3 linked regions of the Oryctolagus cuniculus genome follow. The protein of the gene in region 2 interacts with the protein of the main gene of each other region in a biochemical or structural test. Links are inferred from orthologs where the notes say so. Each region holds a gene or a part of one and is shown on either strand. Other genes may lie near its edges.

The links.
Region 1: the proteins of RNF40 (region 2) and WW domain-containing adapter protein with coiled-coil form a complex in vitro, tested with the Homo sapiens proteins (2 studies listed by BioGRID). The link is inferred for Oryctolagus cuniculus from reciprocal best matches to the Homo sapiens genes RNF40 and WAC.
Region 3: the proteins of RNF40 (region 2) and UBE2A form a complex in vitro, tested with the Homo sapiens proteins (3 studies listed by BioGRID). The link is inferred for Oryctolagus cuniculus from reciprocal best matches to the Homo sapiens genes RNF40 and UBE2A.

Annotation. Positions count from the first base shown.
Region 1 is NC_091444.1:99,032,308-99,035,545, forward strand, and holds part of WW domain-containing adapter protein with coiled-coil, read right to left. Parts: intron 2,590-3,238; coding exon 2,462-2,589; intron 1-2,461.
Region 2 is NC_091450.1:6,348,422-6,352,073, forward strand, and holds part of RNF40 (E3 ubiquitin-protein ligase BRE1B), read right to left. Parts: coding exon 3,604-3,652; intron 3,513-3,603; coding exon 3,438-3,512; intron 2,942-3,437; coding exon 2,822-2,941; intron 2,735-2,821; coding exon 2,555-2,734; intron 2,453-2,554; coding exon 2,317-2,452; intron 1,574-2,316; coding exon 1,452-1,573; intron 1,367-1,451; coding exon 942-1,366; intron 853-941; coding exon 735-852; intron 630-734; coding exon 480-629; intron 313-479; coding exon 100-312; intron 24-99; coding exon 1-23.
Region 3 is NC_091453.1:73,512,753-73,515,869, reverse strand, and holds the end of UBE2A (ubiquitin-conjugating enzyme E2 A), read left to right. Parts: coding exon 1-75; intron 76-875; coding exon 876-964; intron 965-1,254; coding exon 1,255-1,383; 3' UTR 1,384-2,527; downstream 2,528-3,117. UniProt on the Homo sapiens protein: E2 ubiquitin-conjugating enzyme that accepts ubiquitin from the ubiquitin-activating enzyme E1 and transfers it to a E3 ubiquitin-protein ligase. In vitro catalyzes 'Lys-11', as well as 'Lys-48'-linked polyubiquitination.

The sequences.
Region 1 (3,238 bases), on a different chromosome or scaffold from region 2:
GATGAACCTGTGTCATACATGTGTTCTGACCCACAATATTTTAAGACTAGAATTAACTAGGTTCAAGAGGCTAATTTTTTTTTTTTTTTTTTTTTTTTTTTGACAGGCAGAGTGGACAGTGAGAGAGAGACAGAGAGAGAAAGGTCTTCCTTTGCCGTTGGATCACCCTCCAATGGCCGCCGCTGCAGCCGGCGCACCGCGCTGATCCGATGGCAGGAGCCAGGATCCAGGTGCTTTTCCTGGTCTCCCATGGGGTGCAGGGCCCAAGCACCTGGGCCATCCTCCACTGCACTCCCTGGCCATAGCAGAGAGCTGGCCTGGAAGAGGGGCAACCGGGACAGAATCCGGCGCCCCGACCGGGACTAGAACCCGGTGTGCCGGCGCCGCATGGTGGAGGATTAGCCTATTGAGCCACGGCGCCGGCCAAGAGGCTAATTTTTTAAAAATATCTACTGTTTATTTGAAAGGCGGAGCTGGGGGTGAGGGGTGGGGAAAGATATCTCCAATCTACTGGTTCACTTCCCAAATGGCCAGGGCAAGCAGAAGCCAGCAGCCGGAAGTCCATCCTACTCTCCAACACATGTGTAAGGACCCAAGCACCTGGGCCATCTTCCGCTGCTTTCCCAGTGCATTAGTGGGTACCTGGGATCAGAACTGGAGCAGCCAGGGCTCAGATGGGACGCTAGCATCACAGGTGGTGGCTTAAGCCCCCAAGCCACAATGCAGGCTTCCAAGAGGCTAATCCTTGCAAGAACAATCTCAACAGGAACATGAAAAGTTTGAAGACTTTAAAATTAAAGTACAAATCCCACAGTTTAGTGACCTGGATTTGCATGGACTCCAACATATCTCCTCTCCTGTGACCTACTTGTCACCTACATGGGTGAATCAGATACTGGCTTGATACCTGGTTGTATACACCTTTTTCCTTAGATGCAGTAATAAACAGAATGATTTCCTAAAAGTCAAACGATCTGCTTAGCAAGGCAAAATGAAGCTTCGTTTGTCAGAACTCCTCTCAGAACTCTAAGGTAACAGAATCCCAACTGCTGGTCATAAAAGCAATTCCAGATAGTTCAGTCATTGAAAACGTTAAAAACTCACTTTCCAAGTTTAATATATCCCAACTTTGTTATCTGGCAAATATTTTGTTTTCATGACAAGATTAACCCTATGACCCGGTGGCGTATACAACGTTTGTGCTTAATCTTTAAACAGACATTAAAAATGCTTGTGTTATTTATTGGGACTTACAAGTTCATGTTAGGGGGAATAACTAAAGAAATTGGAGAACGGAGCGAGCAGATCTGGCATGCCACGACGTGCCAGCCATCACCAACAGGTCCCTTGGAAATCATCATCTAACTAGGAATTTGCAATTTCAGCACTAGAGTGCTCATCTTGAGAGAGACACTACCGCTGACAACATTCTCCTTTTTCAATGATCTAGTGCTGGGGCCTACAGAGTTGTAAGAGAAAAAGACTACAAAAGCACTTACATGGGTTAAGAGATAAAATTTCATGATTATTTACCAGGAATGTTAAATTATGAAGTTACAGAATGACGATAAAAGAGGTTTTCTACTTAAAATTTGATTACTTCAATTTAAAATACAGCAGTCCCCCACTTATCTATGGTTTCACTTTCCCCAAAGCTTCAGGGTCTTAAATATTCACTGGAAAATTTCAGAAACAAGGTGCTCCTAAGGTTTACAACGGTCACGGTTCCAAGTGCCTGGAGGAAGTTCATCTTCATCTGCTGCTTGGGGTGGGAAGCACCTCCCGCCACCCAGCACACCAACAGTGCCCACTCCTGCCAGCAGACTGGTGTGGCGCCTAAAGTAACCCTTTACTTCACTGCACATGCCGCAAAGCACACGAGTAGTGATGCTGCCAATTCCGGCAAAGAGAAGACACAGGATGCAGAAAAAAGAATTCATCTTCAGGGCCAATGTTGTGGCATGGTGGGTAAAGCTGCCGCCTATAGTGCTGGGATTCCATATGGGGGCCAGTTCAAATCCTAGTTGCTCTTCTTCTGATCCAGCTCTCTGCTATGGCCTGGGAAAGCTGCAGAAGATGGCGCAATTCCTTGGGCCCCTGCACTCACAGGAAACCTGGAAGAAGCTCCTAGCTTCGAACTGGCTCAGCTCTGGCCATTTAAGCCATTTGGGGAGTGAACAGTGAATGAAGACCTCTCTCTCTGCCTCTCTGTAACTCTGCCTTTCAAATAAACAAATAAATCTTTAAAAAAAAAAGGGGGGGCGGGGATCTATCCTAGCTTCACTGACACACCTCAAACCACACAAGTCAGTGGTGAGCGCTGAGGATGGAAGAGGGTCACTTTCCATGATCACAACCACTGACCGGGGCTACCAGAACGGACCCAAGCGGGTCAAGGGCGTGGGGGTGGAGAAACTGTACGGAACTCTAAGAAACATAAAAATGTCAACAAAAAACCTACCTTTGCTCTCGCAAAGTTGCTTGAATTTCACAGACTCGAACTAAAGATCTTAAGTTTTTTAATTCAGTACAGATTTCCGACATATGAACACTTCCCATATTGTGGGCTTCTTCACGCAATCTTGATGCCTGTAATAAAACACAAAGTACATTATAAAAAACATCTGCATACAGAAAACACTGTTTCTAAGTGAAACTTATTATAGAATAATTCTTAAAATCTGCAAAAATGCTGGTCAAGAAGTTGGAGGTGAGGTGTATGGGATGGCAGATTTCTCTTAAAAAACTATGTCTAATCATGGAAAGTAGTCATTTTAAATCCCCTCTTCAGGACTTTTCGGAAAACAGCCTTTCCAGTATCAGGACGAGGGTCTCAGTACGTGTGGTTAATACAATGTCGGCTCAGGTAAGGACGATCGTCATCACAAGTTCAGGTGTAATGCTGACTGCAGAGCACTGCTATATTTGTTTCAGGAGACACAATACATCCTCTGTGAGCTTTCAGAACACCCCAGATGGTCAGTTATAAAAAAGGCAAATGGCAGGGCCGGAGCTGTGGTGCAGTAGGCCGAGCCTCAGCCTGTGGCGCCGGCATCCCACGTGGGCGCGCCATTTTGTGTTCCGGCTGCTCCTCTTCCAGTCCAGCTCCCTGCTATGGCCTGGGAAAGCAGCGGAAGATGGCCCAAGTGCTTGGGCCCCTGCACCTCTGTGGGAAGACGCTCCTGATCAGCTTAGCTCTGGCCACTGTGGCTATTTGGGGAGTGAACCAGCAGATGGA
Region 2 (3,652 bases):
ACGGTCAGCAGCTGCGCGTCCACCTGCGGACGGGGCAGGCCTCAGGGCGCGGAGCTCCAGCCTCCCCCGCTCCCCGGCTCGGGCGAGGGGCGGCCGTACCTGGGACTTGAGGCCCAGCACCTGCTCGCCCAGCTCGTCCTTCTCCTCCCGCAGCAGCTTGTGGATCTGGTTGGCCTTGATGCGCTCGGACATGAGCTTGAAGTTGGCATCGTCTTTCTCCCGCAGCTGCTGCAGCAGCCGCCCGTTCTGCTCCTGCATGTCCTCGAAGGCCTGACCCGTCACATCCATCTCGGACAGCAGTGCCTCCTCCTCCTGCAGTGTGGGCCGGGGACGAGACGGGACACGGCAGATGGACACGGGGGGAACCACAGGAAACCGTGGCCAAGGACTACAGTGTGAAGGAGGCCAGCGAGGGGCCACCTGTGCAGGGGCTGAGGGAGCCCCAGCACTCATTAGCCGGGGGAGCGCCACGGTCGCACCTGCTTGGTGGCGCCCAACTTGCGCTGCAGGTGCTCGATCTGCTCCTCTGCCTGCCGGATGCGGCGCAGGGCGTCCTCGTCCGCCATCTTCTTGCTCTCCCTCCGATCCCGCTCCTCCAGTTCCCGGATGCGGCTCCTGAGCTCATCGACCTGCGGCCATGATGATGAGGGAGCTCTGGGTGCCGCTTCCCGCTGCCGCAGCGCCCAGGGACAGGCCGGCCTCTCCGCGCACCCCCAGGCCCCACCTGCCCTCACCTCAGCCTTGGCCTTGCGTTCGGCGGCCATGAGCTGCACCTTGTCCCGCTGCTCCTTGGGCGCGGACTTGTACATGTCCAGCAGCAGCTTCATCTCCTTCTGGCTCTCCTGGGCCTTCCTGGGGGAGACACGGGAGGGCCCAGTGGGCGGGGCTGGCGGCCACGCGGCAGGGGCGGCGGCAGGAGGCAGGGGGAGGGAAGGCCTCACTTGAGCTCTGCCCGGAGACCCTTGAGTAGCTCCGACTCCTTCCTCTTGGCCTCCTCCACCTTGGCCTTCTCCCGGTCGGCTCTGGAGAGAGCTGAAGCTACAGGTGCGGGCCCCAGGCCGGGCCCTTCCCGTTCCCGAAGCTCCCGCTTGGGCCTGGTCTCGGGTTCTCGGCCCCGGGAGGAAGGGCCCTGTGCCCCGGGAGTTAGGGCCTGGGCATCGTCTTCAGGGGAAATCAGCTCCTCTTTCTTCAAGGAGGTAGCAGTGGTGGCACCGGGCGCCGAAGCCATCTCCTTCCTGCTGTTGGGGGTAGCGACAGGGCCTGGCCCACCCTCTTCTTTCCCTGGGGCCGGGGCACTGAGGCCAGAGTCCTCTGGGTGGCCCAGGCTGGAAATGGAGTGGGCAGAGCCACTGGCCTGAGCCCGGAGCTGCAAGGATAGAGGGGAACAGGGATGAGGCGAGACCGGGCTGGTCAAGGTCTAGCCAAGGCTTCCCGCAGGCAGCCCCGCTCACCTTGCCAATCTCAGCCTGCACTTCGCGAAGCTTCCGCTTGTATCGCTGGGCGTCGCCCTTGAGCTGGTGGTTGTGGTTCTGCAGACTGCTAATCAGGTGGCGCATCTCCCGGTTGATAGGGCCTGGAGGAGGGTCAGGGTCAAGAGTGTCAGGCTGGTCCCGGGTCGGGATCCCAACCCCTCAGTGGGGGAGGAGGTGGAGCCAGAGCCACCAGGGCCACTGTGCAAGGGGTGGGGTGGGTTACACAGCACATGACCTCACCAAAGGAAACCCACCCAGGAGTAACCTGGCACTGCCGACCTGTTACATTTGCTAATGGAGGTTTCTAAATAGCTCCAAACTTCCTTTGATGCAATTGCTAACCACACAATTCACAGAAGGCAGCGGCTGCCCTTTCAGCACGAGGGGCCCTGTGTCAGTTACACTGCCCAGGCCTCTTCCAGGCAACGCACCTCCTCCTGGCATCTCCTGAGAGAACCTTCCTCCCTCCTCGTTGGCGTGTTCTCCCTGGCTAACACCCACCCTCTGGCTGTCTTCCCCTATGACAACAGCGTGCCACAACAGACGTGGGGAACTATTCTGCTCACTAGCACAACCCAAGGCCTAGACAGGGCCTGGCTCGTGGGTGGCATTCAGCGACCGTTATAAAATGAGCATCTGACAGAAGACGCCAGAAGCCAGGGCGGCACAGACAGGACTGACAGCACCTGTCGCGGCTACACGTGCTGTGGCAGCCACTTCTGCTGGCTGTGGCCAGGCGGTGCCGGCCCCGCTCTGCAGAGGAGGCTGGGGCTCTGTGATGGACATCTGGGTAACAGCAGCCCTACCCCAGGAGGCCCCGCTCCGCCCCGTGTGCACCACCGACCTGCCTGCTCGTTGGCCGCCAGGTTCTGCTCAAACTCGATGCGCAGCATCTCGTACTCCTTGCGCACCTGGGCCAGCGTGTCCTCCAGCTGGATGACCTCCGTGCGCAGCTTTTTCTGCAGCCCCAGCTCGTCGCTCTGTGCGGGGTGAAGGCATTAGGACCCATACGACCCCTGGGCAGGCACAGGGAACCCCCGAGTCCTAGTAGCGCAGCCCCCAGGCCTGTTCCAGGGCCCCACCTCCATGTGCTCAATGTGCCTCAGGTGGGAGTTCTTGGTGGCCAGCAGCAGCCCCCGGGCCTCGTCCAGCTGCGTCTTCACTTGCAGAGACTCGTTGTACAGCAGCGAGAACTGGGCCTGCAGCAGCCGGTACTCCCCTGTCTCCCGCACCACCTCCTCTGGGAGGCTCCGCAGGGCCACCTGGGTGCACGGAGGCCCAAAGCAGGGCTCAGTACAGGGACTCTGCAGGCCCAGGCCCCCCTCAGCCCCCGCCCTACCCCAGTTCACCTTGAGGCGCTCATTGGTCCGCACAGCCCCCTGAAGTTCCGCCTGCAGCTTCTCCAGCTCCGCCATGCGGCTGTTGGCCAACTCCTGGTTCTCCTCCAACTCTGCGTTTAGCATCTCAAACTAAGGGGCGAGAGGGGCATGGCGGGCAGGGCTGAGTCAGGCAGCAGGCTCCACTCACATCACACCCACGCCCCACCCGAGCGGCAGGGACAGATTCTGAGGCCCCACACCGGGGACCTGCCTAGGGGTGCCCAAGGCAGGTGCCCAAGGCAAGGCAGAACACTTAACATCTCAGGGGAGCACGGAACACTGTCCGCTAAGGCGCTTAACCGACAGGAAGACAGGGAGGCATTCCCGAAATGCAGGAGCGCTAGCGTGGACTCCCCCTGCTGTCTTTCCTGGGCTTTTTCCTCGTGGGGCTTATTTCTTTACCCAAACAGAACCTTCACTCTTATTCTCTGCAATGTGCCTGGGTCCCCAGTACGCAGTGTTCGGGAACCATCCCCTGACGACTGACAGAGTGGCAGGAGTGGCGGGGCAAGGCCTCGGGGGGAGCGAGGCTTCTCCTCCCTGCTGCAGGGACTTCCGGGAGGCCGGCAGGGCCAGCGCGGCTCACCTTTTGCATGCTGAGCGTGATCTGGCCCCCCTGGAAACCCGACGAGCTCCCAGACACGTAGTAGCCGGAGTTGAGCTGCGACGGGCACAGAGATGACCGGCGTGAATGCAGGACCCAGGGCCCCCGGTGCCCAGCCGCGGCGCTGACGGCCCAGCAGCCCGGCTACCTGCTCCAAGGCCTCCGCCAGGTGCTTATTGAGCTTCTGCTCTCGCTTG
Region 3 (3,117 bases), on a different chromosome or scaffold from region 2:
CAATAGAATTCACTGAAGAATATCCAAACAAGCCACCCACGGTTAGATTTGTCTCTAAGATGTTTCATCCAAATGGCAAGTATCACCTTTATAGAGTATTTTAAACTATCTCAGTGTTTGTTATGGAAGTATTCCACATTTCTTATTTCTAATACTTGAGTATTTGTTTAGGCATCTTGCTCTTTCCTGAAACTGAACTTGTTTGTGGTGATGTACTGCTGTTTAGATCTGTAGTCCTTGAGTTGAAGCAGTGAAGGTATTTTCCTTTTGCTTAGAGTCTCAGGGCCTCCTGGTTTCGACGATTTTTGCCATTTACTTGTCAGACAAAAATAAGATTTCCTTTTAATGCTAGGCGAGATTGGGTTACTCTTGTGTTCTAATTTTCACTGGCATTTAGAACAGTAGTTTTCAATATCAGATGCCTATCAGAGTTATCGTGGAACATTTGCAAGATATAGATGTCCTGACCCATATCTTTATGCCAAAATGAAACCTTGTGTCCCCTGAGCTATCTTGTGTTACTTCAGGTAGGAAATACAGTTTACAAATTTGGTGGAGTGAATTTGCCAAAAGGTCAATGGATGGCTAGGAACCCTGTTAGAAAATGTGTTTGATTTCCTGTATAATGGGGCAGTCTTTTCAGAAGAATGTGCACTAAGTATTTTCTAGCTTTATCCCTATCACATTTGACATTTTTTGATCACCCTGATTATTTCATGGGTAATGATTATGACCTGTCATTTTAGGCAGTTAACTGGGAAGCAGGCTAGGAATATTTTTTTCAACTTCAAAAGTAAAGTATTCTTGATTCTGTCTTTAATTAATATTAAAACCTTAGTGGTCTCACTTTAACATATCTACATCTATACTCTTAGTCTATGCAGATGGTAGTATATGTCTGGACATACTTCAGAACCGCTGGAGTCCAACCTATGATGTATCTTCCATTTTAACATCCATACAGGTGAGTTTTTTCTCAATATAACTACGACCTTTAATGTATTTATATTAGTAATTGTTTTTGAAAGTCATAACTTTAATAGGCCTTTTAATTCTGGGCAAAGACTTATTTTATAGGTAAAAGGTAGACCATTCAGACCCAGGCCACCAGAAAACACATTATTTGCATAGACACTAACAGATTAATGTAATGTACAGACAGTAAATTTAGCTGTGACTTAGGACAATTGTTACTATCTTATATAGTGTATTTCTTGCACTGAGGAACTGACATTTTCAATTTGTTCTTTACAGTCTCTATTGGATGAACCAAATCCCAATAGTCCAGCAAACAGCCAGGCTGCTCAGCTGTACCAGGAGAACAAGCGGGAATATGAAAAGCGTGTTTCTGCCATAGTAGAACAGAGCTGGCGTGATTGTTGACCCCAGAGGGAGCAAAAGAAAGTAACCATAAGAAAAAAATATATTGATGTATTTGTCACCTTCTTATTCCTCATTGTCATTAATTTACTTTATTAAAAGCAAAAAGCTGTTGTGCTGTTTCCATCTTCCCTTGCCGAACTGTTCCTAGCCCTTCTCCCCTCTCCTTGAACACCAGGCAACACCCTCTGTGACATCAAATGTACTGTACCTGGGTTACTTGCAACAATTACTAATGCTTAATTCCTTTTCTGTTGTATCTCATTTCCAGTCTTTGGCAATTATTTGTTACTGTACTTTACAGTAAGGTTTTTAAATGAATTGTTAACAAGTGGTTTCTTATGCATAGCTTTATGATGAAGATACTACTCTAAACAAAGTGATGGCTGAGGTGTTTCATCCTGGCTGGTCCTTCACTTGTATTGGGTTTAAAAGTGTTTAGACTGTGGCCTAGAGAGCAAGGAAACAAGCCATCCAAACATTAGTTTTGAAAGGGGAATGGAGGCCAAAAATTCCGATACAATCTTATGAATTATAAGATGATGTTTCCTGGTAGGAAGAATGTTGAAGGATGCAGCCAAATTAGTACAGCCATTGTAGTACCTGACACATCCTCTCCTTGCAAGACAGTGGTTAGCTACATCCATGCTAAGTTTCAGAACACCGGTTTTCTAGGGTTTTGCTTTTAAAGAGGTGTGGGAGCAGAGGAATGGAAACTCATCAATTTTGGAGCTAGGGAAAAGTTGGAGATCCTTTAGTCTTTCTAAAGGAGTGCAGTTGCCCTAGATAAACTTACAGTCCTCCATCTTTTTGTTGTTTAGTTTGACTTAATTCAAAGGGAGCATATCTGTGGCAAAGTATTTTCCACTCAAATTCTGAGTTACCGCTGCATGCTTTAGTTTCTTCCTCCTTTTCAACGTTATGACAACCTTAAAGCCAATGTCAGCAATCTTTCTTTCAATATTTACACTTTTAGATATAGTACCTTTAAGTAGCAGTGTGGGACAAGGCTTGTAAATGTTTTGTCTGATATTCCATTGTTATCTTTTATGCATTTATTGCTTTTCTAAATCTAACTTTGCACAAGTAACCCATGTAAAAAATGTACATTTTTCAAAACTTGTAAATAAAAATAACCTTAAAATTTTGCAGTCAAGGTATAATTACATTTTAGCTCAGTATGAATTTTAGTACTAACTCTTACTGGGATTTCTTTAAAAAAAAAAAAGATTTATTTTTATTTATTTGAAATAGTTATACAGAGAGGTAGAGACAGAGAGAGAGGTCTTTCATCCGATGGTTCACTCCCCAGATGGCCACAGCTGCCAGAGCTGAGCTGATCCAAAGTCAGGAGCCAGGAGCTTCTTCTGGGTGTCCCTCATGGGTGCAGGATCCCAAGGACTTGGGCCATCTACTGCTTTCCCAGGCCACAGCAGGGAGCTGGATCTGAAGAGGAACAGCTGAGACACGAACTGGCGGCCTTATGGGATGCCGGTGCTTCAGGCCAGGGCTTGAATCCACTGTGCCACAGCGCTGGCCCTTGGGGATTTCATACCTACTCATTTCCCCCCACCTCTTAAAGCAACAATACTGATTGTGGGAGTGGAAAAACAAAAAGGGTAGATATTGTTGGAGAGAATAATTTTTTCTTTTCAGTCTTAAGTGTTAATGCTTTTAAAAAATCTTTTAACAATATAAAATTAGGGATCGGTGCTATAGCATAGCAGGTGGAGCTGC